Lepisosteus oculatus: one gene and its partners. The protein of the gene in region 2 purifies or fractionates together with the protein of the main gene of each other region. This does not show direct contact. Links are inferred from orthologs where the notes say so. Each region holds a gene or a part of one and is shown on either strand. Other genes may lie near its edges.

Region 1 (11,174 bases), on a different chromosome or scaffold from region 2:
GTGGCTGACTATACAGGAACAGCTAAGCTCACAATTGCAGGCTGTGGCCAGCTATATATATATAAAAACAAAACTTCTTTCTTGGTAGTTCTTCCATAATGCCAGGACAATAATGATTTACATTCACAGCTGTATTAAATCATGTCATTATCTAGACAATGATGAATTTCACATACTGTACAGTATGTATAGTAAGGGGCATTAAAGGCACAATAAATGCTGTTGGTTCCAATACTCATCTTTTGCATTTTTACTGCCTCTCAGCATTATATATGTATATACATCTCTTGAGGACTGTGGCACCACTGTAAATCCATTTACTTTTTTATTTGTAACAAATTTGTCTTTACACTACCCTATGATAATACACACATTTTTAATATGCACATTTAATCTTAAATATATATAAGAAAGAGACTGACCAAGTTGTCCTTTCGCTGTAAAACAGTATACGTCTGGGGGCCAAAACTAATTTGAGGTTGGTTAACAATGAATTATGATTGGCTCAACTGCAGCCTGCCACTCAAGTGTCCAACCAAACTGGCACACTGCCATTTCCTGCCCAGTCTTGCTGGTTATCTGAGAACAAATGTTTATTTCTTAATCAAAACATGTCATTGTTGTTAGCTGTTGATTTTGACACACAGAAACTGTGTTCTGTTAGCCCCGAACTTTTTTTATAAATAAAGGATCAGCACTTCCTTCAGTATCCAGTGAATATACTGTATTTCCACTCATCCTTCTGAAGCGGATAATTAGTAATCACTTTCTGTTTTATTGATTAAACAGTGAATGTGCCAAACTGTGTTTTGTTAAATGTTGAGAGGAGGAAAAGAAAACAGGTTCTCAGATATGTCGCGTGGAGTAATTTTATTTTTAAGCTGCTCTGCTCAGTGAGTGCCTAAACCTAGGCCAAATTGTATTAGTAATATTTTAGGAGTAAAAATCGTTTATGGATTGTTTGTATTTTCCCCATGTGATTAAGTTGTTAAGCATTCAGTTTAGAATGTATTCCACTAGAAGCTTGTTTTCACGTTACATCCACATAGTCGTTAAATCTGAACCTAAGTTTGAGTTTTCCTCCAACTTACTTTCTGAAAAACTTATTTAAAAAACGTAAAACACTTGGCTTTTGTATTGGGTGCATGTTTTTTTTTAATGGACCACGACTGCCATTTTAAAATCAAACTGTCAATGTAAATTAAAATTTGGACAAGTCCATGAAGTCTGAAAGAAACATAAGCAGTTCATTCAGAGTCTGAAAACCAAATCAAATCTCCAAGAGAAAACAGTTGTCCGTATTTAAAAATATGTATTTTTAAATATTATAAAGACGAAAGTTCAGGATATTGTAGGAGAACGTTTTTGTTCCTATGGGCTCACAGAGGGATACTGTACCGTGACACCCCTGACAGCAATTACAAACTAAGAAAAGACGTGAATGAATTACTCGGCTTTTTAACGATGTAAAACTGGCATAAGGTTGTGATCAGATGTTTAAAAGATCAAGTGTCATTTAATTCACACATTCTTCCCAGACTGAGCCTCCTTAGTTAAAACTGTCAACACCTAAGCTGAGTTGCACGTCGCATACAGTACATAAATAAATCTTATCCAGTAAAAATTCAGTGAAGTCTCAGGCGGAGCCCGGTAAAAGGAATACAACTATACGTTCATTCAGGGCAGTACAATCTTTTTGGCGCATATCAAGTCCTTATTTTGCACTGTATCCCACATTCTAAGCAGATCTGTGGGGCTCATCTTATGGATCACTAGAAGGTTTTTGTAGAAACATGGGTCGTTGTTCATGGGACTGATTTTGCGCTTCATAATCCCAAAAGTCTTGAAACCGGGATGAAGTTCTGGGGCGACACCTATTTTCTGCAAGCACATGCCCAGAAATACATCATCGATGGGATAAAGCTCCAGTTTCTCAGAGACGATAAAGAGTCTCCGAGCTAATTCAGGAGACATTAAAAAGCCCCCACCCCCCACGTACGGGGGGTACGGTTTGTCGTAAAGGTCTCTGGGAATAAAGTACTTACTCTGACGGTTCCTAATGGGAATAGCTTTGGAAATGGTGTCCCCTACAAACAAATTTCGCACTTTCCCTTCTTCTGTCTTAAAATCAATCAGTTGCAGTAGATTGTTCGTGTTCACAAAGACGTCGTCGTCCCCTTTAAATATGAACTGCACCCCGGGGCAGTACATGTTAAACCATTTCAGGAAATTCACCTCTTTGAGGGTGAGGTTGAAAAAGGTGTCCATGAAATCCCACTGTAGGATGTCTCCGTATATCCTGTCCTCATACTGGATGAGCTTTTGGAGGTTCTTCGTGTCCTTGCCGGTGGAAGGGCTGCCCAGCAAAAACAGAGTCTTGATTCTCTTCCCACCGGTTACCTGCTCTCTGCCCCACGTCCTGCGGACCGCCTCCCTCCTGTCGTGCTGTTCAATCACCGATTTGACCACCATCAATAAGTGCACGTCTCCGCTCCGGCACGTTTCTGGGTGGTTTATCAGCATTGGGAAATACCTGCAGTGTCTGTACAGGACGAACTGGTGAAATCTCGGGTCCAGGCGTTTGAACCAGTCTTTATTCTTCACGTCGGGATTCTCGCTGCAGTTGATAGCAGTCACATCCCAAACCTTACGCGTCACGTTGGAAAATGGGACAAGATGACCCGCTTCCGAATTCTCAGGCTGTCCCAGGGGGGAATGATTGTAAGAGTCGCTTTTAAATACATTTTTATTCACCCTGGACCAACCGGCGTCCGCCCTGGTTTTCACCATTAAAGTGCCCTTAGCGGCCTCTTCCACCAGCTTGAACTTCTGGATCATTAATATCGTGGCACAGACCAAAGACAAACTCAGAAGAGTTTTCAGCGCTCTCTTCCGTCTGAAAAAATACTCCATTATCTTCAGCATACAAAGGTGTAGTAGCTGCAAAGGCAAACCTGGTTTAAATAAAAATCCGCTTTTTTCATTGTGCAATTAGCGGCCCCGTCGTCTGGTCGTGCTGTTTTAAATTCCGCAGTCTGTAATAGAAACGGTCAATTGCTGCCACACTTGTAGTGAGCTGCGGGGAACGCATGATCCCCGAAACTGAAATCTTTCCGTGGAAGAAACCTGTGTGCACAGTCATTGATATCCCGCTTGAAATTTGTCTACTTTCTGCGGATGCCTACTGGCGAGGAATACCAATGTCTTCCAGAAGTTACTCCGGCGCGGCTCGCGTGTCTGTCTTTCGCTTTCCCCGTTGTTTGAAGAGCATTTATTGCCTTCTTTTCACACGGAAGGTCCGACTGTTCCCTAGCGTTTTCATTTGTGCTTTGTTTCAACGTCCGCTGCGTCTGCTAATTACTTCTCCGCTACTTTTTTTTTGTCATAGCCTCCCCAACCCACACCTCCTCTCCGAGCAACTAAAGGACAGCCAAGTCTCTCGTTTCACCTTAGAGGGCGAAGTCAAAACCGCCTACAACCGCACCCCGCGAAGTTTCTGTCGTAGCAATATTGAAATACGCGTTCCCCTTCATAACTCATTGAAAAGCGGCTCATAAATTGTGGCTTTAATACAGTATACAGAAAATAAGAAAGGTTACAAACGATAAGATACCATTTGGCCAATCTTTCCAGTTTGCTTCCGTGCAGTTTATTGGTCTGGTCATCTCATTCAACAGTTTATTAAAGGAAGCAAGAGTAGTACCATGGTAGTCTGTTCCAGACACTAACGACTCTTTGTGTACACACAGGTGTTTAAAGATTAGTGGTTTCAGATGTTACTGCCGTTCATGCGGATTTCTTTCTGTACATGAATTTATTATTTTTTTATTATTAAATGCTGGTTTAAACATTGCATACCAAATCTTAATTTTGCTTGCGAGTTTGCAGAATTACAATTTTATTATATTGTCTTTATATATATATTGCTGATACATACAGTAATTTATCAAAAAATAAATAACCCAGTATTCACACACACAAACCAAAACACTGCAGGTGAGACCGTCTGTTTCGTGAAATAAATTAAACTACTTCAGAATCCAGTCAGATTAGCTGGATAGGATTAAATCGATAACTGATTTCAGGTTTGCTCCGTTTTCCCTCGGAGAACTCCGGTTTCTGGTTAAATTGAACAAGTTAGGCCAGTCTGACTACCTGCGCGCTCACGACTACCTCCAGAAGACAGCAGAGCATCAATCAATCAAGATTTATTTATCAATGCACGAACAGTAGAGCATACAGCAGTGTTGTCGGCAATGGCATGCTTTATCCGCATCGATTCCTTCATCAGCACCAGCACCAGTGTGAACGTGCGTTTTTTCCAGTGACCATGAATTACGACTCCTTTTGGAAAACTATGAGGAGATAAAAGCTGTTATACTGTAAATGCTGCAAAAGCCGGGGACGTCGCCTAACACCGTATCGCCGATACAGAAGTTAATAATGAAATATCTCAAGATATGACACAACTATCACCATGGCGAGAGCATGCATATATTATCTTTACTTAACGTTTATCATTATGTTATTGAAGTGGAGCCCCCTTTTAAACTATCACGGCACAATATTGTTTTCATGCGGCAGTAATTGCAGTATTTTATGCATGGAACTGGACCGCAATGGAAAAACAAAATACAAGAATATCATCCAAAGTGGTATGTGGTTTTCTTTAGAACAACTGTAAAATGCTGTACACAGTGTTGTGCAACATTTGAATAAAAACGATACCTCATTTTAGCCAGCAGCAAGAATCATGAGCAGAAGATGACTGAACGTTAATAGTGAAGATATTGGTAATAATGAATGAAGATAATCAACCCAATAAAGAATTATTCCTTTATTGGGTTTTTGTCTTTTTACCAACGTTTTTTTATCTGAATCGATTAGTAGAGGTGAGACTCCCACCACCATATTGATGAAAGTCTCAAGCCAAGTAAAATGTGGCCTAAATATAATCGGAAGAAAAAATTAACCCAGACATAATTAGAGAGAATATATCCTAAAACAATGGCCACCGTTTAACTAGACATGGCCTGTCTGGGGCTGCCCTCAGAGCACTAAGACAATCACATCTTGACTTGAGGATCCCAAATGTCATCTCAATGTGGGCTCTTGTCTTTACTAGGTTCTGGATCAGGGAAGGGGTCAATTAGATGTTGGAGCTGCCATAATCCCTATCCCCAGAAAGAAGCCAGTCAAACTGACTGGAAGCACTGATCGATGGAACTACATGCAATATCTTCACAGCACAGTGTACCTCAGACCAATGGCTGCTTGTGTTCAATACCTTGCTTAAATTTAAAGCGCAATGTGGACTATCTGAATATTCGAGTCTACATGTTGCTGATTCGACACCGTACATCATGGATCATCGAATATCATAGGAAACATGGTGATAATGGACTTTTTGTGTAATCAATTCATATTTTTTAGGCTATAATTTTTTTTTCCACCAGTACATTGATGTCGTGAATTGATTTTCTTTTAACAAAATCGGTCTCCTTCGACCCGGTGGGGCTTTTAATGTCTGTGCAGTTCAGAGCACCTGTTACATTAGAAAATCCTGCATGCAAATATATACAGTAGATCGCGGGACTTATGTACAGGAAACAAAAAGTACAAGTAGAGGGAAGCTCCTCTTTGCACGGCCCGGAATCGTTATGAATGAATATAAAGACTTGCAGTGCAACCACCACTGTCCTTATCACACGGCGCACTGTCGCTTTGCTGATGCGCTCGGAGTCGCGAACACAGTAAAAATACTGTGGCCAAGAATCTCAAGAGCTCGAGTTTCTGTAAATAATGAGTCACAACATTCGGAATATAGAGGTTTTAAAGGCTTAACCTGGTGCTGTTTGATCCCGCTTCGTGAAACCGAAAAGTCAGACTTTTGTTATTCGGTTAACTAAGTAATCTCGATTTGCGAAAGAGCCCCGAGGGCTAAACCACACAAATTCTGCTTACTGTGTATTAACGCAAATGCAGCAAGGATTGTACTTGTGCCTGATGCAAGCTAGAAAATAAGAGAAATGCACCTAGCACCACCCAGTGGCATTAAGAAGATCTACATAATAATAATAATAATAATAATAATAATAATAATAATAATAATAATAATAATAATAATAATAATAACAGCGACACATCTTGTTTTTTATGTCTTCAGCACAAAAGCCATCGTTACACGATATATTAAACACCTGCTTAGTCATACAAATAATACAAAATAAGTTCTTACACAATGAACACTACATCTCACACGCCCGTGTTGCATTTCGGCATTTAATAATCGAGTTGATAGCTGCAAAAAAAATGGAATTCTAATCTATCGGCAAAGCACACGTGTCGATTAATAAAGAACCTGTGCCTCTGGGGGAAGATGCCCCGTACTAAGCACCCCAAGACGCAGCGCACCCTTAACCCCCACAATGGCCGCCTCCGGCCCTCCCGGCGGTGGGCTGGGCTTGGCGCACAGTCGCGTCATTTGACGAGCGGCTGCTTGGAGTTTTGAAGCCGACCGGGCTTTGCTTTTGTAGAAACTTTTTTTTTGTGCGTTACCCTCCCCGGCAATACTTATTAACTTTTGCCTACCTCGGTAAAGCACTGGGAATGAGTCGAAAACAGGTAGGTTAAGCCGGAGAAACTTCCAGGGTTTCAAAAAGTGTAGGCGCGGTACATAGCGATAGACCGGCCTTTTTTAACGGAGACAACTCCCCGGCGTTCGCCAGTTTGAGACGAGAGAGCCTGGACGTGCTGTAACACTCGGGATACAAATTATATTACGATTGTAAATATTTACACCCCTCGCTTACATAATAAAAGCTTCCTGAAAAAGCAAGCTGGGGCCAAGAAAAGTTCAATTTCCCAGAAACTAGATTTCAGACCCGTGTTTCGCTTTGGAAGACGCGTTCAGGCGGTTTTGCGAGGGTAGCGAGGTCTGTGCCTGCGCTGTGTCCCCGGTTGTGTGAACTCGGGTTCCAGGTTTGTTCCGCCGGTAGGTAATGCGTTACAGCGCAGCACACTGAGATGTTCTGTAAACGAAAGGTTTCGAGCGAGAGGAGGCCCTTGAATTCTTGTCGCACGTTAGGTTGCTAGTAGTTCGGTTCATCTGATCCAACCATTTCCACAAGGATCCCAGGAAGTCTGCGCCGACAGCGTGGCTTCGCTGGAGGCTTCAGTTCTACACCCTTCCCTTTGGAAAAAAAAAACCCAGTATTGTTCTAGCAGCACCTCATTCCAAAACAATAACCGGCAGGAATGTTGTGTGTGAAGGATTATGTATCATAAGGGAGTTAGCTGTGGTAAAGAGTGGTGAGAAATTCTATTTAAAGGTAACCTTAGTCTTCCGAGAGTTAAATCTAAAAAAGTAAGGCAAATTGATCCTTAATAGATCCTTTTACATTGTAATATCTTATATCTTTTATATTCCCATATCACATATCTTTTACACATTTTATTATATTGAGAGCTATCATGAAACCATGATGAATGATGTGGTGGGCAATAATTGTGTATTGTTATGTGTGAGAACAAAGCCATAGTTCTCAGTTCTCATAGTGCTAGAACGCCAGCAGCCATATCACTCTGTAACTGGCACCCCACTGAAGCTCAGCAGGTCAGTACCTGGATGGGAGATGAATGGAAAAATTCAATTCCCCTGGAAAAAACTTAGGTTGCTGTTGGAAGGTGTTAATCGGGCCAGCAGCGCTCACCCTGCGTCTCATGTGGGTCCTAATGCCCCAGTATAGTGACGGGGACACTATACTGTTAACAGGCGCCGTCCTTTGGATGAGACGTAAAGTCTCTGTCATCACTAAAAATCTGTTTCTTCTAAAAAAGTTGTAACCCTGGCATGTCCAAATTTCCCATTGGCCCTTACCAATCATGGCCTCCAAATAATCCCCATCTATGAATTGGCTACATTACTCTGCTCTCCTCCCCACTAATAGCTGGTGTGTGGTGAGCGTTCTGGCGCACTATGGCTGCCGTCGCATCATCCAGGTGGGGCTGCACATTGGTGGTGGTGGAGGGGATCCCCATTACCTGTAAAGCACTTAGAGTGGAGTGTCCAGAAAAGTGCTATGTAAGTGTAAGCAATGAGACACACAGGCACACAGAGTGCAGGGTCAGCCATTTATACGGCGCCCCTGGAGCAGCTGGGGTTAAGGGCCTTGCTCAGGGGCCCAACGGAGTAGGATTCCTCTGCTGCCCGTGGGATTTGAACCAGCAACCTGGTGGTGGTGGTGCTATAGTTAGCATTGCAGCGCTGGGGCCCTGGGTTCAATTACAGACCTGGGGTGTTATCTGTATGGAGTTTGTTTTTCCTTTGTTCGCTTGGGTTTCCTCCCACAGTCCAGAGACATGCTGATAGGTTAATTGGCTTCTGTGACACTTGGTCCTGGTGTGAGTGTGTACGTGTCTGTCTGCCCTACGGTGGACTGGCATCCCATCCAGGCTGTACCCTGTTGCTTGCCAGGATAGCCTCTGAAATGGGAGAAGAGGTTAGTAAAAGGATGGCTGTATCAGGTTTGTATCGGTGTTCCTATTCCAGTTGATTTTTCCTTTTTCTTTTCCAGGGCCGGGGTAAAGTCCGGAGCTCGGAGAGACTCAAAGGAAAGAGCTCCCATGCTTCACTCAGCACAGCAGTGGAAAGTTCAGTTCAGGTCAGTCACAGTAATAATAATAATAATAATAATAATAATAAACAGTCAACTACATTTTATACAGAAACCTTTAAAAGTAGGTTCTCATAACACTTTACAGAAAAGGTAAAAGAAAACAGTTAACACGTATAACCACAAGGGATTAAAAAATGCAGTAGAAGATGCCAGGAGCAAAGACACCAACTAAATAAAAGCCTTTCTGAAGAAGTTTTTGAGTCTGGATTTTGTGCCTAGGGTAGGTGACTCTCTGATATCCTTGTAGATAGAATTCCAGAGGTCTGGACCATATAGGTGAGCATGAGGATGTTGAATTTGACATAAAACCTGATAGGAAGCCAGTGCAGGGACTCCAGGAAAGGAGTAATGTGATCACTTGCACAAGACCTGTTAAGGATTCTGTTTGGATTTAGATACCCTAGCGAATGGAGCGTTGCAGTAATCAATTCTAGTTAAGACAAATGTATTAACTAGCTTTTCTGCTACAGACAGAGAATATAGGACATAGTCCGGTGATGTTCCTGACATGTTTTTACAATATATTGTACATGTGTTCAAATGCCAAGCCGGAATGAAATATCACGCCCAAATTCTTCAATTTAGATTGACATTCAAGTACAGTGTCATCCACAGATAGGGTTACTGCATTGGCTTTACATAGTTGATGAGAGGTGCTTAGAAGCATGAGTTAATCTTGTGGCAGTTCAGATGAAGGAAGTTTTGAGTCATGGAGTTTTTTATGTTAGAGATGCAATTAGAGAGCATAGAAACAGCTGCTACAGTGTCAAGTTTAGTATGGATGTAGACCTGAGAGTCATCAACTTTGAAGTGATAATTCAGACCATGTGATTTTAATAACTGACCAAGTGGGAACATGGAAATGCTGAATAGCAGAGGGCCCAGTATCAAGCTATGAGGAACACCAGTCTTAATGGCCCAACTTCAGAACTAAAACCCCTAAGACAGATAAATGTCAGTGATCAGTAAGGTAAAAGTCATGTCAGAAACAGTGTCAAGGTGGGAGAGTGAGATGTCATGATTTAGGAGAATAAGGATAGATAGAGAAGCGGAATCGGAGGCCCAGAGGTGATAAGAAGATTATTAGTAACTTTGAAAAGGGCTGTTTCACCCCGTTCAGGGTTGCAGGGAAGCTGGAGTCTGTTCTGTCAAGCAACAATCAAAATCAGGGTCCTCACATTTCATGAAAGACTTACATTTTTACAGGCTCCCTTGAAGAAGACTGAATCCCATCGTTCTGTCAAACGGCAGAAATGTGAAGTGCCTGAACCGCAGCCAGAAACGTCGGCAGATGTCCCCGAAGACGTCGGTGGCCTGTCGGGAGGAACAGCCCAGGAGCAGGGCGTCAATGGGAGTTCTGCAAGGGAGCTCGGCACAGCGAGAGGCACACAGAGCCATCTCCCCGAGGCAGAGGAGATGAGCGCCACAGGAGCCAGCGAGTGCCGGACTTTGGAGTCTGAATCCGGTGTTGCGATGAACTCGAGTGCGGAGAGAGCAGTTGATAATTGTGTGCCAAAGCTGGAGCTCCAAATGGACAACAGTGTTTTCCTGGACGAGGACAGTAACCAGCCAATGCCAGTGGGCCAGTTCTTTGGGAATATAGAACTTGTACAGGTACCTTATCTGCTTGTGGTAGGGGTGGTGGAATGGTATTGTTATGGAAATAGGCCTTTTGTTTGATTACGTCCCATCCTGGGTAATGAATGACTTCAAACCTTGAAGTGCAGAACATTTTAGAGCAGAATTTCTCCCGCAGATACAAGCCTGGTTGAAGAACACACTTATCACAAATTAGTCATGAGAAACTGGTTTAGTAAGTTACAGATTTAAGAGAAACAGACTTGCACGTCATAGTTTAGGACTGGAAACATGACCACCTCTTTATGGAAAGAGAAAATCGCAGGACTTCTTGGTTACATACTCTGCAGATGTGCATGGCTGTGTCCAAAACAACTTGTGAGCAGGGCTCTGGCCACCAAACCGGAAGGCTGTGTAGTCATGTCCCTAGGTGATGTAGCCTTGAGTGAAGAACAAGGTGTCACATTGACTCTGCCCAGCTTTTAAAACGAGTAGCAGTGTCAATGGGAGTGATCTTGCAGGGGACTAGCATAGCCGCCGATCTGGGAACACTCAGAACTGTTTGCCTTGTACCCCAGAAGCCAGGATAAACTTAAACCTGATTAGCCACCAGATCAGCGCGCATAGCTTGAAGGTTTTATGATAATATGGTTTTGTTCTGCAGGACGATCCTCCCAGAGCTCCAGCAACAGTCCCAATGAGCCGGAGGGAGTACAGGAGGCTACACTTCATTGCTAAAGACGACGAGGATGACCTCTACGAAGACAGCCACGTGGAACAGCCTCAGCAGAATGGTATTTGCTTTACGTTGTCTTTGGGGACTCAGTGTTGCAAATCCCAATCACTTTGACAATCGCTTTTCCTGGAAAACCTCAGTTCACCAAGACATCGCCTTGAATCATGTACTGGCAGTTACAT
Region 2 (11,293 bases):
GAACCACGAGTGCTAGTGCACCCAGCCAGTCTGGGAAAGAGCAGGTCTGGAGCACGTTGATCAAAGAAAGACAACCGTGGCCTTGGAATACAACACAGAGTTCAGGGGACAAGGACTCCCAGGACATTCACTCAATTTCACCAGGGCCAGTTTTCCCAGAAGCCCTTTGCACGATGGGAGGAAATCCAAGCAAACATGAGGAGAACTTGTTGGCATTGCTGTCCGGTAGTGCTGGGGCCCTGGGTTCAATTCCGGCCCTGGGATGCTATATGTGTGGAGTTCGTATGTTCTCCCTATTTTTACATGGGCGCTACGGTGTGATTGGTTAATTGGCTTTTGGGGAAATTGACTCTGTACCCTTGTCACGCCCCGTGCTCTCCCTCGCAAACGCTGTTACATTCCCAAACCCACTGTTTCACCATCTCATTCCTAATTGAACCCCTCACATTCCCACAGGCACCAGATTCCACAAATTCTCACTCCCAGACCAATAATCCAACCACATCCCTTTCCCTTCAGTATTTACAGTTCCCTCACTCACCAACCCAGGCTCACTATCGAGAAGGTTCCCGAAGTATTCTCTTGTGTGTGTTTCTAACCATTTTGACTGATCTCCTGGTTCCAAATCTTTGCTCCTGCCTTTTTGACCATGCTCTTTGGATTTTGTTTTTCGGATTGTCTTTCTCGGATTTCCCTGGTTACCGGACTCATTGCTTCTCCAATTGACCAAGCCCCCTGGATTACGTGTTTTGGATTGTCCCTGTGCTACTCCACATTCTGCAGGATTCCTGGTTACGCATGAGGATCCTCCCATTTTACTTACTGGTTCCCTGACAGAACTCACAAACATCCCACAGATAACACCCCACGTCTGGAATTGACTGGAAAGACCCAGTGCTAGGAGGCTGTGGTGTTAACCACTGTGCCACCATGCTGTTCATATAATCAATATTCTACCCACTTATTTGAGTCAGCTATGGAAATTTAAGTTTTTTAGCACTTCATCCGGACTAGCCTTTACATGGATTTATTGTCAGAGATACATACTTCTAACGTCCTAAAAGAGAACATTATTTCTCCCCCCAGAAATGGGGTTTTACTGACATTAATATCAGAAAGGGTCACTTTGGTTACCTTTCAGCTGTTAAAGATAAATAGCATGCATAAGAATGTGGTGCACCTCAGTTTATTCCTCAGATTAGTTTTGATTTAGCAATTCAGTTTAAATGCATATTGCCGTCCATTTAGTTCCTTAAGTGTCTGACATTCTCAATGTTAACAATGTTAATTAAAATAAGCCTCCAGTGCATTTTCTTTCAATTTTTATTTTCGCTCTGGTATGACTCTCAGCTGACAGTTAAGAAAAAAATTTGGCTTTGCGAATTTGCACAAAGATGTACTTGACATTTGGTGTGCAATAGGAGACCATACCCATGTAATATATCTGCATTCCCTGTATCTTCATAAACACAGCATGACATAAGGATTAAGAGGTCTGGGAGATGTTTCTTTTTAATAAAGCAATGCAATAAACAAAATTCAGTCAAAGGTCTACCGCGTTCTGCACAGTAAGGCAACAAATTCCTGCCCCATTGCAATCAGGTGAACATGAGGAATATCAGAAGAGTTTTTTAGGAACAACAGGCTCATTATTGAGAAACTATTAATCTGTTGTGATTTTCCTTTAGAAACACATATTCACCCATAGAGACTGGAATGCTAATTTGAAGCAAAAACTCTAAAGTTTATGAGGTGTTTCTTGTGTAGTGTAGTACAATGTTAGATGGACTCCAAAGTACTGTACTTGTGTTCCAGCATAACTCACAGATGCCAGATGTTAGTCAATCAAAACTTTAAGAGGTTACACAGAACAGGAGGCCAACTTTTTCTGTTTTATTATACATCTACCCAATGTGGAATCACTATTGGGTTTAGGACTCAATGTTCTGGCAATGACTGAGGAATGAGCTCAAAACAGGTTGACAAGCCCCTCTGATACAGCCAGCTGCAGGGCCATTCTGGGATGGCATCTCAGGCTGGCAGGACAGTTAGTGCCAGTTAAGGTAGTGGTGCATCTCACCTCTACAACCCTGCCAGCGCCCAGGAAGTCACAGGAGGTACTGGAGAGCCCACAGAGCTCTGGCTGACTCATCCCAGCCCTTCGACCAGCACTGGCCAGGGCTTCAAGTCGGAGAGCTCGGACAAAAAACTGAAATAAATGATTGTGGTTATTAAAAAAGAAAATGTCCCGTCCGGGATATATCCCGCCTTGCGCCAGGATCTATCCTAACTGGGATAACCTCTGGCTCCTCCGGGACCCTGAATTGGACAAAGTTTTCTAAAGAAAAACAGTGTGACATAACAGTGAGAAAAGAGTACATACATTAGGTGTAAACTATACTATGTGAATCAATAATCAGCGGCTTGGTTTCAGTGGCTATCTTAAACATTTACTGGCTCGGTAAACAAGCGACTAGCATCATGTGTATCCTATGACTGTGTTTTTGGTGACTCCTTAATGTCTTTGTATTGGAGCATACATGCAAAAAAGCATACATGTAAATTGCACTTGTGCGTATGACAAATAAACTGAACTGATGTCTTCTCCCTGTCTTTCCAGAAGAGGAACATGATAAATAACAGATGTTATTGAAGGTAAGCTTTCCTAAGCCCTGTTATAAATAGCGCCTAGGTGATGCTCAGCTTACCTTTATCCTTTATTGCCCTTAACGTACTCCTGAGAGAAATACAGAGTCTGCAGGTGTTCGGGAGATAAAGCAATCACTTCTCGTTTTGAAGTTTGCCACTTGTATGTCTGTGCAGGGAAAACAAGCCCAGGGCTGCCAGGTGCCTTCAGAAAGTGTGACACACTTTCATCCTAACAAGTTTTCTATAGTCCTTAAGCATTTTTATTTAACTCAACGTTTTTTTTCACTCCGGAACCACATGTGCATCCCTACTTTCATGGCTGGCCATCACAAGGTGTTAGAAACAGTTGGTCACGACAAAGAAGATAGGACCCTATGTGGTGCTAGTCGAAGGCTGATGAGAGAAAAAAAATAAAGTGGAGCAAAAGCCTGGTTTACTCAGCCAAGTCGCGTAGCCAATAATCATGGTCGGAAGCAAGCGTGGGTCAAGTAGCATGAGTTTCACGAGACAATAGGATTCTTAAGCGTTGAAGTTTTGAGAAGGTAGCTCGTGAGGTTTAACTCAGTACTAAGCTGGGAGTGCAGGTGAGAGGTGGATCTGTGGCTAAGGATCTGCGCCTGTGGCTGGAAGGTTGCTGGTTCAACTCCTGCAGCCCCTGAGCAAGGCCCTTAACCCCAGCTGCTGCAGGGGTGCTGTACAATGGCTGACCCTGAGCTCTGACCCCAAGCTTCTCTCCCTGTCTGTGTCTCATGGAGAGCAAGCTGGGGTATGCGAAAAGATGAATTCCTAATGCAAAGAAATTATATATGGCTAATTAGCTTATCTTAATTAGTGGATGTCAGGAGGCGTGGTGCAGGACGAGGGACGTGGTTGGGTAATTAGGTTGTGTGTCAGCATTTGTGGGAAGTAGGCTGGGCTTGTGTCTGATTAGTGAGATCAGTGTTTCAGGTGCTGGCCGTGCTGTCCAGTCGGGATAACTGGTGCTATCAGTTCCTTGCTGGTAACATAGGTACCCCTATGGCGTGAGGTCTCCCCTCACAATGGGACAATGGGTAATCTCCCCAGGCTAGAAAACATCACCTTGTACCTGCTGGCTTGGGAAGGACCAGATGAGAATGAAGACCTCCCCAAGCCAGCAGGTACATGGTGGTGTTTACAACCCCTGCTGTATCCTATTGGAAGAGTCCTAGACAAGAACGGGATATGGCAAATTAATTGAAGACAGGTTCGGTGCTTTATTCTTTTTTCTTCTGCATTGTGGCTGATTTTAGCCATGTTTATGAAACACAATGTTGCACAAATATCCACTTATTCTTTGACCGCCTTTTCCCCATTATCAATCACACTGTTTTTCTTGTATTAAATACAGCAATGCAATACTCTTTCTCAGCAGGATCAGCATTTTCATCAACAGCAGCTCTTCTTAATCAGCTTCTGGATGAAGACCTCTCCGAAGCTCGTGCCTTTGGCGCATTATACGATGATGGCACCCAAAGACTTCCTCGTTTCACCTTCCCATCTTCTCTGAGGTCACTCGGTTGGTCATCTCTTGTCTCCTGGGCTCTGTTTCAGAATCTCCATGATCCAGCATTGATCTGTTCTTCCTCCTGTCATTCCTTTGTCTGTCCCACACTGCTGCCTGTTGCCAGCAAACATCGTTCTGCAGTGCTTTTATGTTGCTTACAGTTTATAATAATAATAATAATAATAATAATAATAATAATAATAAACTTTATGTTATATGGCACCTTTAGCGGTGCCTTCTCAGTGCTTTACAGGATGACAACAACAATAAATAAGAAGAATACACAAGATAAAACACAATTACAATATATAGAGGAGACCGTGGATGGTGGTACTAAGAAGACCAGAGGGGTGAAGAATGGAACCAGTTCAGTAAAGGCTTTTCTGAAGAAGAGGGTTTTGAGTCTGGATTTGAAGGAGGTTAGAGAAGGTGACTCTCTGATATCCTTGGGGAGAGAGTTCCAGAGCTTGGGGGCATAACAGGAGAAGGCCCTGTCACCCATACAATGTAGACGGGCTTGGGGGACAGTAAGGAGAGCAGACTTAGAAGAGCGAAGGTTGCGAGGTGGGGAGTAGGATGATAAAAGTTCAGACAGGTACTGAGGTGCAAAGCCATGCAGAGCCTTATAGGTGAGCATAAGGATTTTTGAATCATTTTTATCTTCACATCTGGATGTGACAGTAAGAGGACTTTAGCAATGTTGAGCCTGTTATGCAGTAGAAGATGATGTCATCCCCTTGAAGCCTAAACAGTGTACACCTCTCCAGCGGCTGGAGGACGTAGTGTTTAGCTGTAGAGTATTTTGCCCCCATCTAGGGACCGGCGCTGTGTCTTCTGATCCCAAGACCAAGGCTGTGCTTGAATTACATCAGGGACTGAGCTGCACAAGGTCTGGTCAATGATTGAACGTACTTTTTAACCACAAGTTTTGTCTTTCGAAATGATCTGTATTATTACTGCTCTATGGTTCAGCAGGACAGGTACTAACTGAATTACTCAACAACCTAAAGACTGAGAGCTGAGAGACCCAGTCGCTAACTTAGCTGAGTTTCTCCACGCTATCTGAAGCTTTCTGTTTTGGTTACAGTGCTTAGATGTGATAGACAAAGGTTAACTGTTTATACCCAGGGGCTCTTCAATATTTCAAGCTGTGTTGCAGATTGTTTGCCCATTGAAGATCAGTCACAGGATCCTAATCCACCATGACAGTGTTCTCACTGCATGGCAGAGTATGCATTTTTTCTTGCCAGGTTGTCACTTTAATTGCACCCATTACACTAATGCAAGTTATAACAGAACATCCTAGTAAGGATCATTGAGAATAACTGAAATATTATCCCATAAAAGCTTATGAGAACATTTTCTCTCACTTTACATTCATCAGTTTAGCAGTGTATTCTAAATTTAATGTTAGCGCGGACAGTGATGCGGATTTCTATACTGTTTATGTTCAATTTATGCTCGTCCTGTTTAAATGTGGATTCTTCTGAATCATTTGCAGTTTACTTACTCCAAGAATCCCAGGAAATATCTACGGTCTTGATGAGCAGTTGTAATCAATGCTGACCAGTGTGGAATAACCTTAAAGGAGAATATAAGATGATAGCATATATAATGAATATTTGTACGTAATATATGTACAGTAGTACATTATGAATGTGTCATATTCACAATATAACATATTATGAATACAACATATTACTAAATTGTTTGAGCGAGTGAGACCTGTGTTTTGCTTAAAATTGCCACCTGACGTCACTCGCGCTGCACGTTTATTTAGTGATAAATATAATACTGGAGCTTTATCCTTCACTTGCACAGTCATGTGGACCGCGGTACGAGACAAGCGTGCCACAAACAGCAGGCGCTGTCACACGTGCTCTCCGGACACACGTGAAAACTGTAAGCTAGGGGCTAAGCACACGTATCCCAAGGAAGTTCATCTCTAAGAACGTTATTCGGGAAAAAAAATACATATATATTTTAAGATATAAATATTAAAACTAACCCCAAAACATGGCAAAAAATACGTTCAAATATAATTTCGTGTGCTTGAATACTAACAAATTCAAATATTGCACACAGGGTTAAAAAAAATCAAAACATTCAATGTCCGAACGGTCTTCACCGAACATGGGAAAAAGCGAAGGGGGTACGTAAATTCTTTACACTTTAAATGACAAAACAGTTTAGTACGCTAAGACAACCAGTTCCGATTATGTCGTCTAATAATTCAAATAATTAACTGCACCAAAAAATAGATTTATATACTGCGCATAACAAAACAATACGTAAATGTTTTGTAAGTACGACACCCCCATGACTAAACAGTGGACTCGTCCTTATATGAGACTTCTAGGAATTATGTGGGGGGGACACTGAACAAAAGGTTATTGATAAACTTTAACTTGTGCGAGGCTGGAATATAATTATATATTTTTTTCTTCTTAATTTAACGAAGTATTTATATTCTAGAACGGCATGCTGCTATTGTTATTAGTAGTGAACGTGGTAAAACTGTACAACACTAGACCTCCCTCGTCACGAGGAGTGGTACGGTCCACCCCTTCATTCAAAGGTTTGGATGTTTATTTAGTTCAAACAGTTTGGAGATAGGGAAACGGTTGGAGCTGCAAATCGTGATTTTGGCACAGGAAAAGCGGGGTTCGACCCAAAAACCAAGTTCTGGTCTCAAAAGGCACGTCAAGCCCCGCGTAGCTCACCTAATTTTCTTCCCCCGGAAATAAAGTGATGAGGAGAGGAAAACCGAATTTCCCCGCACGTTCGTTTTCAACGACAAGAGACCCATGGATACAGGTGACGGGGGGAGGAGAAGGACAAACAGCGTGCGAGCCTGCCGGAGGAGCGGGGCTCGCAATGCGAAGCTGAAAAGGGAGGTGGGCAAAGTTTCGCCGGGGCAGAGCCGGGGCGATGAGGTCCCGATGGAGGAAGGCTCGGCCCCCGACGGCGTCGCCAAGGGCGAGAAGCCGCCGCCGCCGCCGCCGCGGCGGGTGCTGGGGCCGCGCTACAGCCTCCTGCGGGAGGTCGGCAGGGGCAGCTACGGGGTGGTGTACGAGGCCGTGGCGCGGCGGTCGGGCGCCAGGGTGGCCGTGAAGAAGCTGCGCTGCGACGCCCCCGAGAACGTGGAGCTGGCCCTGGCCGAGTTCTGGGCCCTGGCGAGCCTGGAGCGGCGGCACGAAAATGTGGTGCAGCTGGAGGAGTGCGTCCTGCAGCGGAACGGCATGGCCCAGAAAATGAGCCACGGCAACAAGCGGTCGGAGCAGTACCTGCGCCTGGTGGAGACGTCGCTCAAAGGTACCGGGTTTACCCCCACCTCGCAGTAAAATTACCCCGGCGCTACACCTCTGTGGGTCAGCTGCAACCCCCCAGGTCGTTCAGTCGAAGTGCGTTGCTCGATTCGGGTTTCAGATCTCAAGCAATGCATGTGTTACCGTATTCCGTGTAACAACATCCTGGGGTCTACGGGGTTAAGTGAGCGATTTTATTCTCCACACCAGCGGAATCGCTGGAATTTATTTCCCAGTTTCGGTCCAGATGCGTCTTAAGCTGCCCCCCCCCCCAGCAATCGCAGAACTGAGCTGAAGTTTTCGAGGCACGAAGTTCACGTGTGTGGCGGTGATGGCGGGGAGGGGGGGGAGTTTAAACTGGTCTTGGCAGGACGCGACTCGAGTCGGCCGAAACGGTGCGCAGGAGGGGACGACTCGCTCTCTCCCCCCCCGTCCTGAAACGCAGTTCCCCATTCGGGGTTCGCTAGCGGCCGGGACAAAGGCTTCTTCCCGGACAGCCGCGCAGTCAGAGCGGCCGTTCGCCCGGCGTGCAGCGGGAGTGTGCGGGTTCCGTTTTTGCGGGGGGCCTCGGAGTTATGCAGGTTTTCGGCCTGTGTTTTTTTTGGGGGGGGGTGGTTTTCGTGAGTGTCGGGCAGCAGATCGCACCGACTGGAAACGCATCGCCCGCGCTGATGCGGCCCCTGGCCTCCCTTTCTGCGTGATGTAACTGGGGCCTGATCACTTCTCTGGAGATGAAATATTAACGCCGGGCATGAACATGTGGGCGCTCCGAGCTCGGGAGCTGGGACCAGGTGACCGTGATTTCACGTCCCTTCTCAAATGTACAGTTTTCACCTCGGAAACAGGCCATAGGCTACATGAATCGAAACTGATTATCTTCTTTTACTTAAGACCTTGTTAATTAACGGCTTGTCATTTCCTATGTGTTTCAGATTACTGGCCTTTTCAGAAAGGAGCCTGCTCTGAGGGAATAAACCCTTTCCTTTTGTGTTTTACAGTTTAGAACAAACAGGTTTGGTTTGTTTTTCCTTTCACGACTGGGAATACGGTCTCTTCCTTGAGATGTCAGGGCACTTGACATTATTTATTATTTACTGGACAAAATATTTACATTATTTGAAACTTAAAAATAAACAGAGTTTCACGACAGGAAGTTGATTCCAGTTGTCAATGTGACCAATTGCCAACCTGCTCAGCTCTCGGTAAGCAGAATACAGCTGGGTGGCCTCTATGGAAAATCAGGTTACTGCTGTGAGAGGTGTTGGCAGTTCAGGTAGTGTAAATGTACTTTTCCCTCTAGTACAGTATTTCTAACACAGAAAGCCCCAGTATGGTGAAGGAGGACACTGTGTTGTAGAAGTTGCCTTCCTTCAGACCAGGTGAGAATTCTTGGCCCTGGTGTTCTTGGTCATTAACGATCCCGGGCTTGTTTGTAAAAGCAGGGGTGTGTGATCTCTGGTGTCCTAGCTGAATTCTGCCCTGGGATGAAGATCGCACCTCCCTAATGTTCCTCATGAGTTCAGTAGATTTCATTTTCTCCTGATCTAGTAGTGGCCCAGACGTGTCCCGTGCTTCAGCAGTGGAGGTAGTGGCTCCTGTTGGTTCCCCTTTAATTCTGATATTGCCAGACATGCAGTGGGGCTGCTGTGTTCCCCCACAATTTTGATTGTGCAGCGAGACCCCTTGCTGGTGTTGCCTTTTGTGTTGGACCAACCCCCCTCCCCTTGAAAGTCCATGCTAGGTAATGTGAAATCTTGGATGCGTTATCAAGCTTAGATCTTGAGGTGCTGACTTTTTTTTTTTTTAAAGCCTAGAAGTGATTAAGACTTTGGAGTGCCAGTTTTCCGTTTCTCTGGTCATGACAGTGTTTATCACTGACTCGGTTTGCAGGTAGCTGCTGTTGTTGTTTTGGTGTCCGTTTGTGTGACAGCTCAAGTTTGTGGGATCTGTTCTGCCTCTTCATTGGTCTGTGGTGGAAATGGAGGGCCATGGAGATCTGTGCCCCCTGTATTGTTTTTTTTTTAGGGTTGTCCAGAAATTAATGCCCCTTGTTTTTAAAGTGACAGGGTGTTCTGTTGTGGAAGACTGAAATTTGCCGTTCCAGAGTTCTGAAATATTCCCATAGTCTCTTTCTCAAAAGCATTTTTTTCCAAATGTGGAGAGTTACTTTTTGTTTCCAGTGATGATCAACTCCAGACTTCCAAGATTTGGTCAGTTGTCTATTTTTTCTTCCTTAGACCATTGAGATTTGTGTGGAAAAAAGGGCTACCTGTCAGTCAGGCTTATGGCTCTTCTTCACCATTGCTGCCATTAAAGTTGCTCTGCTCAAAGGTCACTTGAACAAAACGGGTCTTGTTTTGCGATGCCAGTTACATTTCCTTCTTTAAGGGCCAGTGGGAGTTCCCAGTTCAATTCGCAGTGTGGGCTTCTCTAAAGCCTGTAATGTGCCAGCAGTGTGGGCATGCGTGTGCTCTGGGTAAGTGGTATCAATTGGGCAAGTGGCAGGTAATGCAGAAGAAGTTCAAGTAGGGAAGTTTTGCCTATGGCCGCAAAAGAACAAGTAAAGGTTTATTCTATGCTGAAAAGGGAGGAAAGGAAACTCAGTGTTTCAGCTGTGGAGCCTTTTTTGGGTGTGTGACTAAGTTAATCCAGAAGGCCAGCTCTAGACCCAAGAGAATAGCCTAAATCACAGTTTTCACATTATTCACAGGGATTATTATGCAGCCCAATAAGTAGTGGTATAACAAGGTGGGGTGGGAAATGGTAGCCAATAGAAAGGTAATATTAGAAATAGAATAATGGAAAAGGTAAGATTTGGTTAACCAGTAATGGTTGCACTCTCGACTTAAATCGCAGTAAAACATTGTAGGACAATACTTCAGTTGAAATATTGTGCAGTGCTAAATGTGAACTATGGGTGTCAAAGTAGGTAGGGTGTAGGCATCACTCACTAAATCCCGTCTTTAAAGATTGAATATTGGATTCAGCAACCTGTTCAAGTTCTGGATGTTGGTCCCGACAAAGATGCATTTTTTTTCCTGAAGCCTCCCCATTTCCTCCAGTGCTGAACTGGCTACAAACAGGTCCGATCTGCCATCTTCCAAGGCATACTGTCAAGATTTCATTCATTCATTACAAAATGCCTATAGCCAGATTGAGCATCTTGGTTCCCATCAAAAAACAAACTGTAGTTAACCACATGAACAGAAGCATTGACCATTAGCCTGGCACTAGGGTAAGGTTTTAGAGGGTGGAAACATTCATTAGTTCACGTTTTGTGATTGCTATAGCGAGTGAATAGTGAATAGCTCACTTCTTCCCTGCTGGACCTTGTCAGAGTTGATCAGGCCTCTGCCTTCCCTCTAATTTCAGACAGGTAGGCAGGCTGTGTGGCTCAGCCAGGATTGTGTGCTGAGCACAGCCTCAGGCCTTGGACAGAAGTGTGATTGCAGATGTCAGTGCCTGTGCCTCAGTGTTTCAGCAAAGTACTTTCGTCTTTTGTTGCATAACACACATTTGACACTTGATGACATCATTATATAGGCTATGCAAGCTTACTGCTGTGTGGTAATGTTGAGATGGCATGGCAGAGTGTGTGGAAAATGCTCAGGAAATTCTAGGAAAAGTGTTTGGTGTAGAACAAAATAAAAACCGAGGACTGCCAGTAATCCTTAGAAACTGATAAACATGTCTGATTGAAAGGAATAAATACCACACAGGCATGAAGCAAAAAGCTCTCTGCATCTTCTTTGGTATATCTGAGACCAATGTCATTTACAGATCTTTTTCAATATTCTAGACAGCAGTAGCT
Region 3 (10,517 bases), on a different chromosome or scaffold from region 2:
TCACACTCAGGAATGACAGCCCAAGGCACAGTGCTGCCAGCTGAAGTATGAACAATGGAGAAGCCAGGGGTGATGGGGGAATCAACGAGTCAGGAGCACTGACAGGCCTGGCCAGGACAAGGGAATAGCCCTGCCCACGACTCGGCTGATGCTGCATCCCGATCTGAAACACTGGAATAAAATGCAGCCAGAAACAACGCAAGCATCTGTCATCTTTCAGCTCATGCAGTAAGCATGCTCCAGATCTGGCTGCAGCAGAAACAGCTTTGTTGCTTCTCGAGTCTCCCTGCCTATTTTTACCAACACAAAGCATGACTCATCTGCAGTTTTCAGCGCAGCGCTGCCAAAAGCACGAGCAACATCTTTGCCACTTTCGTTTTCATTAAAAGAAAAAAAAAGGCATGAAAAGTTTAAGTATTCTACATAAATTGAACCAGACAGTCAGTTCATCTTTCACTAGTAACTGTACACTTGATGTTTTTTAAATGAAAAACAGATGTTATAAATGCACAGAAGACATCCACCCCCCAATATCATTCCATCCAAGGAATAGCACTACTTCCACGTCTTCTGCATTTCTCCCCTGAGGCTAATTAAGGAGAAATGTTACTAAAAACGAGTGAGGATGCCACTTTCCCCCTACTTCCCCTTCATACTATATACATTTATGTTAGTGCACAACAATGATACTAACAGTTAAAGGAGATTCAAGATATGTGAAGAAAAATTTCCTCTTAAGACTAAAGCTATTTGCATGTATTTGTAGTTGTAGTTGCATTATGAGTTGCACTGTCACAAAATCACTCTAAAATGCTTCAGAATTCACACAAATACATTTCACTCCAGTTGCATATATTACAAATCATTTAACCATCTAGGAGGCAGGTTCAGAAGAGTAAGGAAAAATGAATAAGGCATTCAGCTGAAACAGCTGCCTTTACTCCCCGAATAAAACAAAACCATGTCCTTCAAGCCAGTAAAAAAAACAACCTCTGTCCTATTCCCATGTGCAGTAAAGTTGAAAGCTCAGTAATGTTCATGTGCAGCTAAGCTCTGGTACAAAGATGACGGGACATGTTCCTACCTTACAGCCTGCAGAGCAAGCTGCCAGCTAACCAGGCCACCACAGCAGGGCAGACCCAGGCAGAGCTGGCACAGCCCGCACACTGGCATCACACCAGCACACGGCAACACCACACACTGGCATCACACCAGCACACGGCAACACCACACACTGGCATCACACCAGCACACGGCAACACCACACACTGGCATCACACCAGCACACGGCAACACCACACACTGGCATCACACCAGCACACGGCAACACCACCACTGGCATCACACCAGCACACGGCAACACCACCACTGGCATCACACCAGCACACGGCAACACCACCACTGGCATCACACCAGCACACGGCAACACCACCACTGGCATCACACCAGCACACGGCAACACCACACACTGGCATCACACCAGCACACGGCAACACCGCCACTGGCATCACACCAGCACACGGCAACACCACCAATGGCATCTCCATGCTTACCCACACAGGACACCCTATCCTACACATGGCACAGTTGCTGAATCGCCAAAAAGAAAAGAGCTGGATAATCTGAGAATGGTTTTGTTTTTTTTAAGACAAGGGATAATCTAATGAAACCAATTCATCAGAACAACTTGGTCATTCAAATGCCCACTGTGCTTCAGTAAAGGTTTGAGGTCCCCCCAAGAAACTCCCAAAATATGGGTACAGTTAGTGTAACAATCGAATCAGTTAAATTGTTAGTGTTAATGAAGGACTCCGAGAATGTGCTTTTGTGTACTAAGCTAATGCGATTTGAGATTATTTCTAAAATACTTTACACCTGCTTTTTTATATGGAAACATTGTTGCTCAATCACCTGTAGTTCAGCAATTTGCATCTCCAGCAATTTAACTTTCAGATCTGCTTTTCAGGCACCACTTAAACACATCCCTGGGAACCGGCATTATGCTGAAGAAAGGTCAACACCACTAAAACACAGGGGGACCTTCACTCAGAATTGCTGGCTATCTATTGAGTCTGTTCAGAGAATTAGTCACATCTCTATCAACAGTGTATATGCCACAGCAGCTATTAATGTCAGTGGGTTCACCAACAGGAGAAATCTTGTTATGCGAAACTGCAGCAAGCTGTTTTCTAAGCAAGCACAACAAAATGTTTGTTCGTCCCGCTGCAGTGGTATTTATATTCCTATTATTAATTTGTTCCTTTATAATGCCTGCATACATTTTCAGGCATTATGAAAAAATGAGAAATTTTCAAAGCAAACCACGGGAAGAATCCCACTTTTTTTTAAACGGGGACGAAGATTAAACTACCCAGCTGTAAAACTCTCGTGTGACAGAGCGCGTGTGAGCTACAAAACGACTGGCTCCAACATGCCCAGGCAAAAATCACAGAATTGTGCCGGCAACTTTGACCAATCTCAGAGCACATGGAAGGACACTGAACTCTTGACGCGTCAAAAAGGCTCAGTCAAACCCTCCATCCCCACCGTCCCCCAGTCTCAGAAGAGACTTGATGTATCCCTACTGCACGACTGTAGCAGAGGAATGTCACTGTGACGCAGGCGGGGGATCATTACCGAATGCAGCAGGCTTGAAAGCCGCGCTTTACCTTACAGAAGTCCACATTCCACTTCATTGCTGAGCGAGACAAGCCAGGCTACAAAACCTTCACCTTGAAAGGCACCATGCAAACGTACACTGTTGTACGACTTAGGTAACGGCAGTTCTAGTTCATTCACCGGTTGTGACATGTTCCGATCAGGTACGGACACTTCAAAGGCAATCGGCTCTCTCCTTAAGATAGAAAAACTACGAACATGTCCTACAGCTGCTGCTGGCGACTCCTGGGAGGAAAATGACAGGCTATAAATCTCTCTGCAAGTGTGAAGTGTTAGTAGTACAAAATAATTCGGAAAGAAAGGATATCGCTAGATGACATGACACTCAACGCGCTGCGCGATTTCCAACACTTGCGAAAACCTTTCCAAATAAAACTTAAAATACTGTTTTTAGGATTTGTAACACGGGGATTTAAAAATACTGGTAACTTTAAAATGCCTACCGCACATGACAGGAAAAAAAATTAGAAACGTGTATCAGGGTTTAGAGAAATTGTAAAAGGACGCCGTTAAAAAAAAGCACTCAAGACGCTTATTTCCTCTGTCCACGGCGACTGGAAATACTCAGACTCGTTAGAAAAACTGCCGAAGTGCACCGACGGTCAAGTAAATCGTATTCTCCCACAATGTGCAGGAGCTTGGTAAAGCTACAAAACAGTATTAAACTTTCCCTCGCGATGCATTTTTTTTAAAGAAAAAATAAAGTTAACGTGCTCTCCTGTCGCAAACGCAGCCCCGCTGGTAAACACGAGCGCGAGCTGAGACGGCGCCGAGCGGAGCGAGAAGGAGCACCGCGCCGCGCGCGAGCAACGCCCCCCGAGCCGCAGCTCGAGGAATGAAACCTGTGAATCCGAGCCCAGGCAACTCCAGTGACAACAAACAAAGCCGCACTTTCTCCCGGCTGCAGAGCTTCAAACTTCAGCCGTGCACTGGCGAGAGCACTACATCGCAAACACATGGGCGTTTTTTCGGAGAGTAAACGGTTTTTTTTTTTCGGGGGGTTTATTGTGTTGGTAAAAGGCACACGCGAGAACCCCCCCTCCCTGCCAGAGAAGTGGGCGGGAAAGGGGAAGGGGAAATCGGTAGGGCTTCATAATCAAGCCCGGGGCGGGAGATGGGAGACGAGGCCAAGGCCTAACACAAAAAAAGCGCTCCGTTTTCCCACTCACCCGAGCAAGCGTTTAAATTGAGGCATGACTTTGGCTCCAGCGCTGCCGTAGCGCCACTACCTGTTTCTCTTTCAAGACCGACTCCCCCAAACAAAGTCTTCAACTACACATTAATGAGTAATTTAGCCCCCAGGTAGAAGCAACTTGTTCGCAGCAAGGCAAAAAAAAATACATAAAAAGGCACCACTTAAGGTAGATGAACTAAAGTGGAAGGAAACAACCAGGTAGCGGTGCTGATGCAATTTATAAGAAAGCAAAACAAAGGGGAAAAAAATACCTCGGTCTGCCTAGTTGATCTGTGCTGCCCGGAAAATGTCATGTTTGAAATCCCCCGGTAGGCAGAAGAAGCCGAGATTTAAAAACACAGCGCCTCGGTGTGCAGCACGACAGAAGAGTCAATATTTATTTACAGACACACAAACCCCCCGGAAAGCCGCGGGAATAGCGCCCCACTCACTTGCCAGGTGTCGGAGTGTGTCGTTCCCGACGTGGCTGTCTGTGCCTGGCTGCTACTCGGCGCAGCGAGAGCTGCCTGCTGCCTGTGGCCGTCTCGGACTCGCTGTGTTTAGGGACAATCTCTCCGCTCCTGCGCTGCTCCTCCAGTCGCCATTTCCCGCCTCCTTACCGACCCGCAGCACCGACACTCTCAATGGCAGAGACCCGGATGAGCCGTGTCCCCGCTGCGCAGGCGCAAGCACAGGCCGACCTGCGCTCCTCCCCTCCCCGCCACTTTGAACACAAACAAACTCCGCAGCGCCACCCAGCGAGCCCGTCGTCACAGGTGGCGACACGCGTGTGCTGCCGCCGTCTCCACAGCGCCGTGCCCTTCTGCTGCTTCATATCGCTCATTAAATCAGCATTTTGTTGTCATAATTTTATCATCTTTTTATTTGTATAGATCCCGGGGTATTTAATCCCTTTCAACTGGACTTTCTGCTCGTTTTAAAAAAAAACCCGAAAAGACACTGTACAATCAAGCAAAAAACAAAACCAACAACAAATGACGGGTATATACAATTTTAAACATCAAATTAGAATTACAGGCTACAGAATTACAGGCAGGAACGTGAGTCTTCGGACACGATTAAAAAGTGCCGATTGACGTGTAAGATTTAATATTCGCTGGGAGATCACCCCCCATTCCTGGAGGAGAATTGAACTGGGAACTGAAAGAATCCCACAGCCCGGAGGCACGTACACGACTCGTAGGTGTATGGGGACACAGGCAGGGACGCATTGCTCAGACCCTTCAAGGAAGCACTGCCGTGTCCCGAACATCCTCCCGAAATCCCACAGAGACCCCGCGCATAGCGATCTGTGCTCATGCCTTTGAGTTCTGGTTGAATTCGACATCGAAACGCTGAGATGTGAATAACGCATCAGCTTGTTGAGAACACGTTCGGATACACCTGCCGGCGCTATATTACATTCATCAAGCCGGTAAAGGAGCGCTAGCTTTTCTGTATCACACGTGTAAAGTTAACGAAGGTTACAAAATGACACCTTCGCAAAGCCGCGAACGCGAGCTTCAGATGCTAAATTACGCTGGTCAAATCCCCTCCGAAGATTCCTCACTAGACAACGTGGGCTCCACGGCTAAGAAAATTATGTTTATTCCCCCATGAGAAGCCCCACGTTTTTTGACAAGTTATTCGTGAACAAGAAAAGCTGCCGTGGCTCGGCGGCATAGGAATTTGGCACTCCGATGGGAACAATCGTGCAGTAATCACTAGAGTAAAAATGCGTTACTACAGCTCGCTCGGAATATCTGCATTTCTGACCTGGACCAGCATGAGGTCAGCTGGTTAATATCCGTTAATATCCAATTGTCGGGTTAAACGCGACACCGAGTTTCTTGCTAAAAACGAAAAATCCGACATTTCCTCCAGTAGAGCACCAGTATAATCACTTTCCCGTGTAGTGAATTGGTTTAAAATTCAAATGATTTGTAAGGGATGAATGTGTACCTCCGCGATCTCATGCTAATTCCGTCTGTCTCGTGTGTGAAATGGCACTGGTCACCTTTGAGAGAACATGCTTGTATGTTAAGATGACACACATGAAGCTGGCCGTCTCCGGCACGCCGAGGGAGCTCCGCGCGGAGGGATGCCTTTCCTCCGGAGAGGCAGACGGACTCGCCGGGCTTTTAATCGTCATTAGCATCGAAGTGCGCGGCAGGTAAAAGACAATAGAACAGCACGAGCAGGCTCGCGCGGGTCCTGCCAGAATCGACCGGGCTGTCTCACGCGAGGGATGTAAGGCGGAGCACCGCCACCCGGAGCGTGGGGTTTGTCCCCCACTCGCACCTTTAAAAAGCAACGGCTTATGACTGTGACGAGTTATTACTGCCGCGCCTATCACTGTGCGGCCGCACGGGGGAGACGCACCTTGAGTATTACCTAGCCGGATAAACAGCTGTCAAATTAAATTTGCATTAAAGCAGTATGTGGCGCCCCAGGAATTCTCACAACTGGGCCTCAGATATTTCAAAGCCTAAAGTAAATATGCAAATGTAAAAATGCAGTGCCACACGCTGGCCCCTCCTCAGCACACACACATGCAGCTGCCTTCAAAAAGCCGCGTTCACTGATGCTGTGATAGGAAGGCAGCGGTCGAAGAGTTTCCGATCAGCCACCCCAGTGCAGACTGAACAAAGACGCGTCCACTCGTAGCTCAGTAAAACGCGCCCGGAGGTCTTGCTATTAACGTTCAATAACGAAGATGTGCCGTTTTCCCTGGGCACAGACCGGGGCTAGAAAAGACCGCTTGTTCCAGGCGACACACAGCCCTGTATTTAGTGCAGTGATACGGATGACTCACAGTGCATTCGTGTTCGTGCTTGCGTTTTATTCCGTTTGTGCGTGGGGTGAGGGCTATGACTGTGTACGTGGGGACACTATGCAAGATAGTCATTCCGGACCTACAGACAGTAGTGAGACTTCCCCACAGTGTGAAGGACGCTGCGTTCTAAACTACCTTATCTTAAATTTGACTAATTTAAATAATGACAAAATTTGTTTCGGGGGCCATTTTCAATCTGTACGGCATTTCGGTGCACTGGTGGGTGGATGACTGTCAACTTTGTATGTCCCCCAAATATAACGTGCGTGGTTCAATAGCTAGGACGTTCCTCGTTGGTCCACAAAAGTAGAGAGAACGCGTTTGCCCTTTTTAAATACAATGTGGATTTTTTTTCCAGTGGGCAGGGTCCCCTTTGGCCTAGACATCTCACTCAGGCCCGTTAGTGTCTCGGAGTTGTTTGTATGATCATTTGTAGTTCCCAAAAAGAACACGCCGTCACATTCTCGCTGACACCTTACTTTCGCGTTCCGAAAATCTGCGATTACCTGGACGAGGCAGCTCGGTATCAGAAAGCTGTTAATTCCAGAAACTAATAGGATGAGAATGGATAAGTAGGAACGCGAGGGCAGTACCTTACAGCCCCAAACGAAAGCCAGATCTCTCTGAGACACCACAAAATATAGCCGATCAGAATGATTATTTTTTGTTCCTAAACGTGTTTGCTGCCCTTCCATTTTAAAAACAGCGGCTGCGGCTCCGTATTTTGAAAGGAAACAGAACTGCGCTCTTGCGGTGATATGCATGCATTTAAAAAAAAAAAACATTCGTGTGTTTCAATAAGAAAAGCAGATGAGAAGTTTCCACCTGGGACTGTGACGGCGCTGCTCGACGGCTTTCTGGCGAAGCCGCTAGCTGAAGCGCGCGCATGTGTTCACAATGGCAAAAACAGGCACTGGGGTGGAAATTCGCCGGGATTTTGAAAACATGCAAATGGTTGTCATGGCGATGTATTATGAAAGATACAGCTGGTGGTATCAGGGATGAGTGCTTCGGAACCCAAGTCGTGTATTAGAGAGCTTAAAGATATTTGGTGGAATGTCTTACTCTTTTGTGTACACATTCCTTAACAAAAAGAAAAATATATCTTTCTGTACACTGTCGCCGGGTAATCCTTCGTTATCTTTCTGACTCCCCTGCTACGAACTGAAGGGATCAATTTAAAACCAAAGACATCCATAACCGGCTTGGTCACAATATTAACGGGATTTAAAATAACAAACGGCGCAAAAAATGGAGACTTCGGTCTCCAGTCGAGGCGTTATTTAGTGTTTTGTTTCTTGTCTTATCTTATGACGAAGGCAGTTCATATGCTATAGATGGCAGAGAAATAAAAAGAGCACTTATCTGTTACTAACGTCTTGTCCGGGTTTATGGGGACACTGGCGGTTCTGGGAGATTGCACCTGTAGCAGAAGTCCTAGTACCTTAACATCGCTTAGGTTACATAATCCATTACGAAGTATCCTGCAGATCGGACACACGATAGTATCTACACCTATGACAATTACTAACTACTAATATGGGTGATGCTTTTTTCCCCCAAAGCGACTCACATACAGTATGTTCCCATGTATACAACTGAATATTTTACTGGAGTAATAAGGGTGAATTGGGCACAACAGCATTTTCCCACCTGGAAACCCGAAGAAGGCTCCACAGCTGAAACGTTGTGTTTCCTTTCTTCCCTTTTCAGCATAGAATAAACCTTTACCTGTTCCTTTTCCCACCTGGGATTTGAACCCACCACCTTCCACCCATGAGTCCAGAGCCCCACTCGCTGCTCCCCAACCCACACCCTGTGGATTTTAGAGAGGATGAGGACACAAGAGCACAGGGAACCGCCGATCCACAAACGTCTCGTATTACCCTTAATTATCGTGGACCGGGGGCTGTCACTCAGCTGGAGAACGTTGTGGACCTATTTGCAAAAAAACAAACTTCAATCCACCACTATAAGCATTGTGTGTCAGGGGCTGCCGCCTCCTCCTATTGTGCACGTCTCTGAGCTACATACTCTACACACCTCTCTCTTCCCTTGGGAAGCGCCTTCTAGAATTTTTAAATGTTTCAGGAAATAAAAATAATTGGATTGAACTCCCACGCCCACTGTTACATCCATGGAACCTGGATATCGGAATAACGGACCGAGCCCCCAAGTGCTGTGTGCTTGGGTCCAGAGTCTTTTCACACAGATGTGGCTGTGCTGCACTGCTGTGCAGGCACCCAAGTCCTTCTGCTGGGGAGACGGAGCAGAGCACTGCCAGCAATGCCTCAGCTCCGCGCAGCTAACTGCAACGGTTCTTGGGGTCTCCACCCTTGCCACTCCTGCCCTGCCAGTTCGTCCCCTCGATGCCTGGGCGCGAACCCGAGTCTCCAGCGTTACGCAACAGGGAACTTGCCAGCTAAGCTAAAGGAGACCTTCCTCAGCCCAGGCGGCTGAGATCCCCCTTATACACAGGGGTGCATTGGTTACATAAACATATCAAGAAAACATCAACTGCAATAAATACTATATGAGGTCCAATTTTAATCATTTAGCATGGTGAAACATGACTACTAAATCCGAGTATTTTAAGCATACAGCATTTGTACCATGAAGTGTGAAGATGTATATATGAAGGCTGTATAGGTTTTATTTTTATCTACCGCCAATTTTCCTTTCCATCAGGTTAGAGGGTTAATGTTGTCTCATTAAGGAGCTGAGCTTTCCTCGCCCCACCTTTTCCTATAGACGGCACTAGAGCCTGCATGAAAACATTCAAGGAAAGATCAAAAAGTCGTGCTTGTCCTCTCTCCAACATTGCAGCATCATCGTAAAGATTGGTCACAAAGACGGCTGTAGACCATAATTCAGTTGAGTAACCATTGTAACAGGACGGCTGGACTTTAATATGCAGTGAATCTCCAGATAAGGTCTTCATGGGCAAAGCCAAAAGGATCCTTTGAATACTGTAAGTATCTGATGAGGTCATGATGCATGAAAGATATCATCCCACCCCAGGAGATGTCCAATAGACCACCAAGATCAACATTTGAGCAATCTACTGCCGTAACTGGGTACAACACCCAAACCTACTTTTAATATAATCATCTTTGCATACAATTGTAGACAACCGTTCTGTTTTTAAACAATCATTCTCTGGTCTGCAGTGGTGGCAGCCAGCCCTGGTCCTGGTATTCTTCTGGGCGGTCTGTTTGCCCCAGCCATCTTAATTGCTGGCTATTTGATTTCAGTTTGCTGCTGGAGGTATGTGCTTGAATTGGCTTTGAGCTTGTGGCTAAAAAGAACAATTTCTGAGTTTCAGAACATCCCTCTCTCGGGCCTGTACTCTAAAATGTAACCAGTGGGTCTTCTGCAGCCAAGAACAAGCTCATAGTGGGAGCATGTGACACACTGTCATTTGCACCTGGCTGTTCATCACAAACTAAATTGCCAATCGAGAGTCCTGGACAGCAAAAATTGAAGACACTTGAGTCAAGGAAAGAGTGCAGGGTGGCATGTACGCAAAAGCAGCTGGAAAGAATGCACCATTTCTGAAGCCAAAGGGTGCAGAAACAGGTCATTGAGAGTCTAAGAATGCAGATCAATTAAAGGCTCCAATTAGGACCAGTGATTACCAGCTGCACGGGAACATAAACCAGCAGATACAGGAGTCCCCCCGGGCTGGGAACACTGGTCTACAGAAATGCTTCGCTCACTCTACCTGGGAGAGACCATCTTTAGGAGGAAAGAACTGCAGCAGCCCGAGGAGCCTACACATTCTTTCAACATTTATCTGCCCCCAACCCCCACCCCTTTTCAGAGAGC

Evidence for each region.
Region 1: the proteins of stk35 (region 2) and c25h1orf174 purify together in Homo sapiens (affinity purification with mass spectrometry; 3 studies listed by BioGRID and IntAct, counting the BioPlex papers as one, with this or other methods). This does not show direct contact. The link is inferred for Lepisosteus oculatus from reciprocal best matches to the Homo sapiens genes STK35 and C1orf174.
Region 3: the proteins of stk35 (region 2) and ctdspl2b purify together in Homo sapiens (affinity purification with mass spectrometry; 3 studies listed by BioGRID and IntAct, counting the BioPlex papers as one, with this or other methods). This does not show direct contact. The link is inferred for Lepisosteus oculatus from reciprocal best matches to the Homo sapiens genes STK35 and CTDSPL2.

Annotation. Positions count from the first base shown.
Region 1 is NC_090720.1:3,839,748-3,850,921, reverse strand, and holds the start of c25h1orf174 (UPF0688 protein C1orf174 homolog), read left to right. Parts: upstream 1-6,477; 5' UTR 6,478-6,609; coding exon 6,610-6,624; intron 6,625-8,576; coding exon 8,577-8,663; intron 8,664-9,884; coding exon 9,885-10,292; intron 10,293-10,920; coding exon 10,921-11,050; intron 11,051-11,174. Other genes in the region: b3gnt7l (UDP-GlcNAc:betaGal beta-1,3-N-acetylglucosaminyltransferase 7, like), read right to left, coding at 1,678-2,925.
Region 2 is NC_090711.1:13,098,285-13,109,577, forward strand, and holds the start of stk35 (serine/threonine-protein kinase 35), read left to right. Parts: upstream 1-6,768; 5' UTR 6,769-6,981; coding exon 6,982-7,489; intron 7,490-11,293.
Region 3 is NC_090700.1:47,154,360-47,164,876, reverse strand, and holds the start of ctdspl2b (CTD small phosphatase-like protein 2-B), read right to left. Parts: upstream 4,584-10,517; 5' UTR 4,310-4,583; exon of another isoform or gene 4,306-4,309; intron 4,234-4,305; exon of another isoform or gene 4,126-4,233; intron 1-4,125. UniProt on the Homo sapiens protein: Probable phosphatase.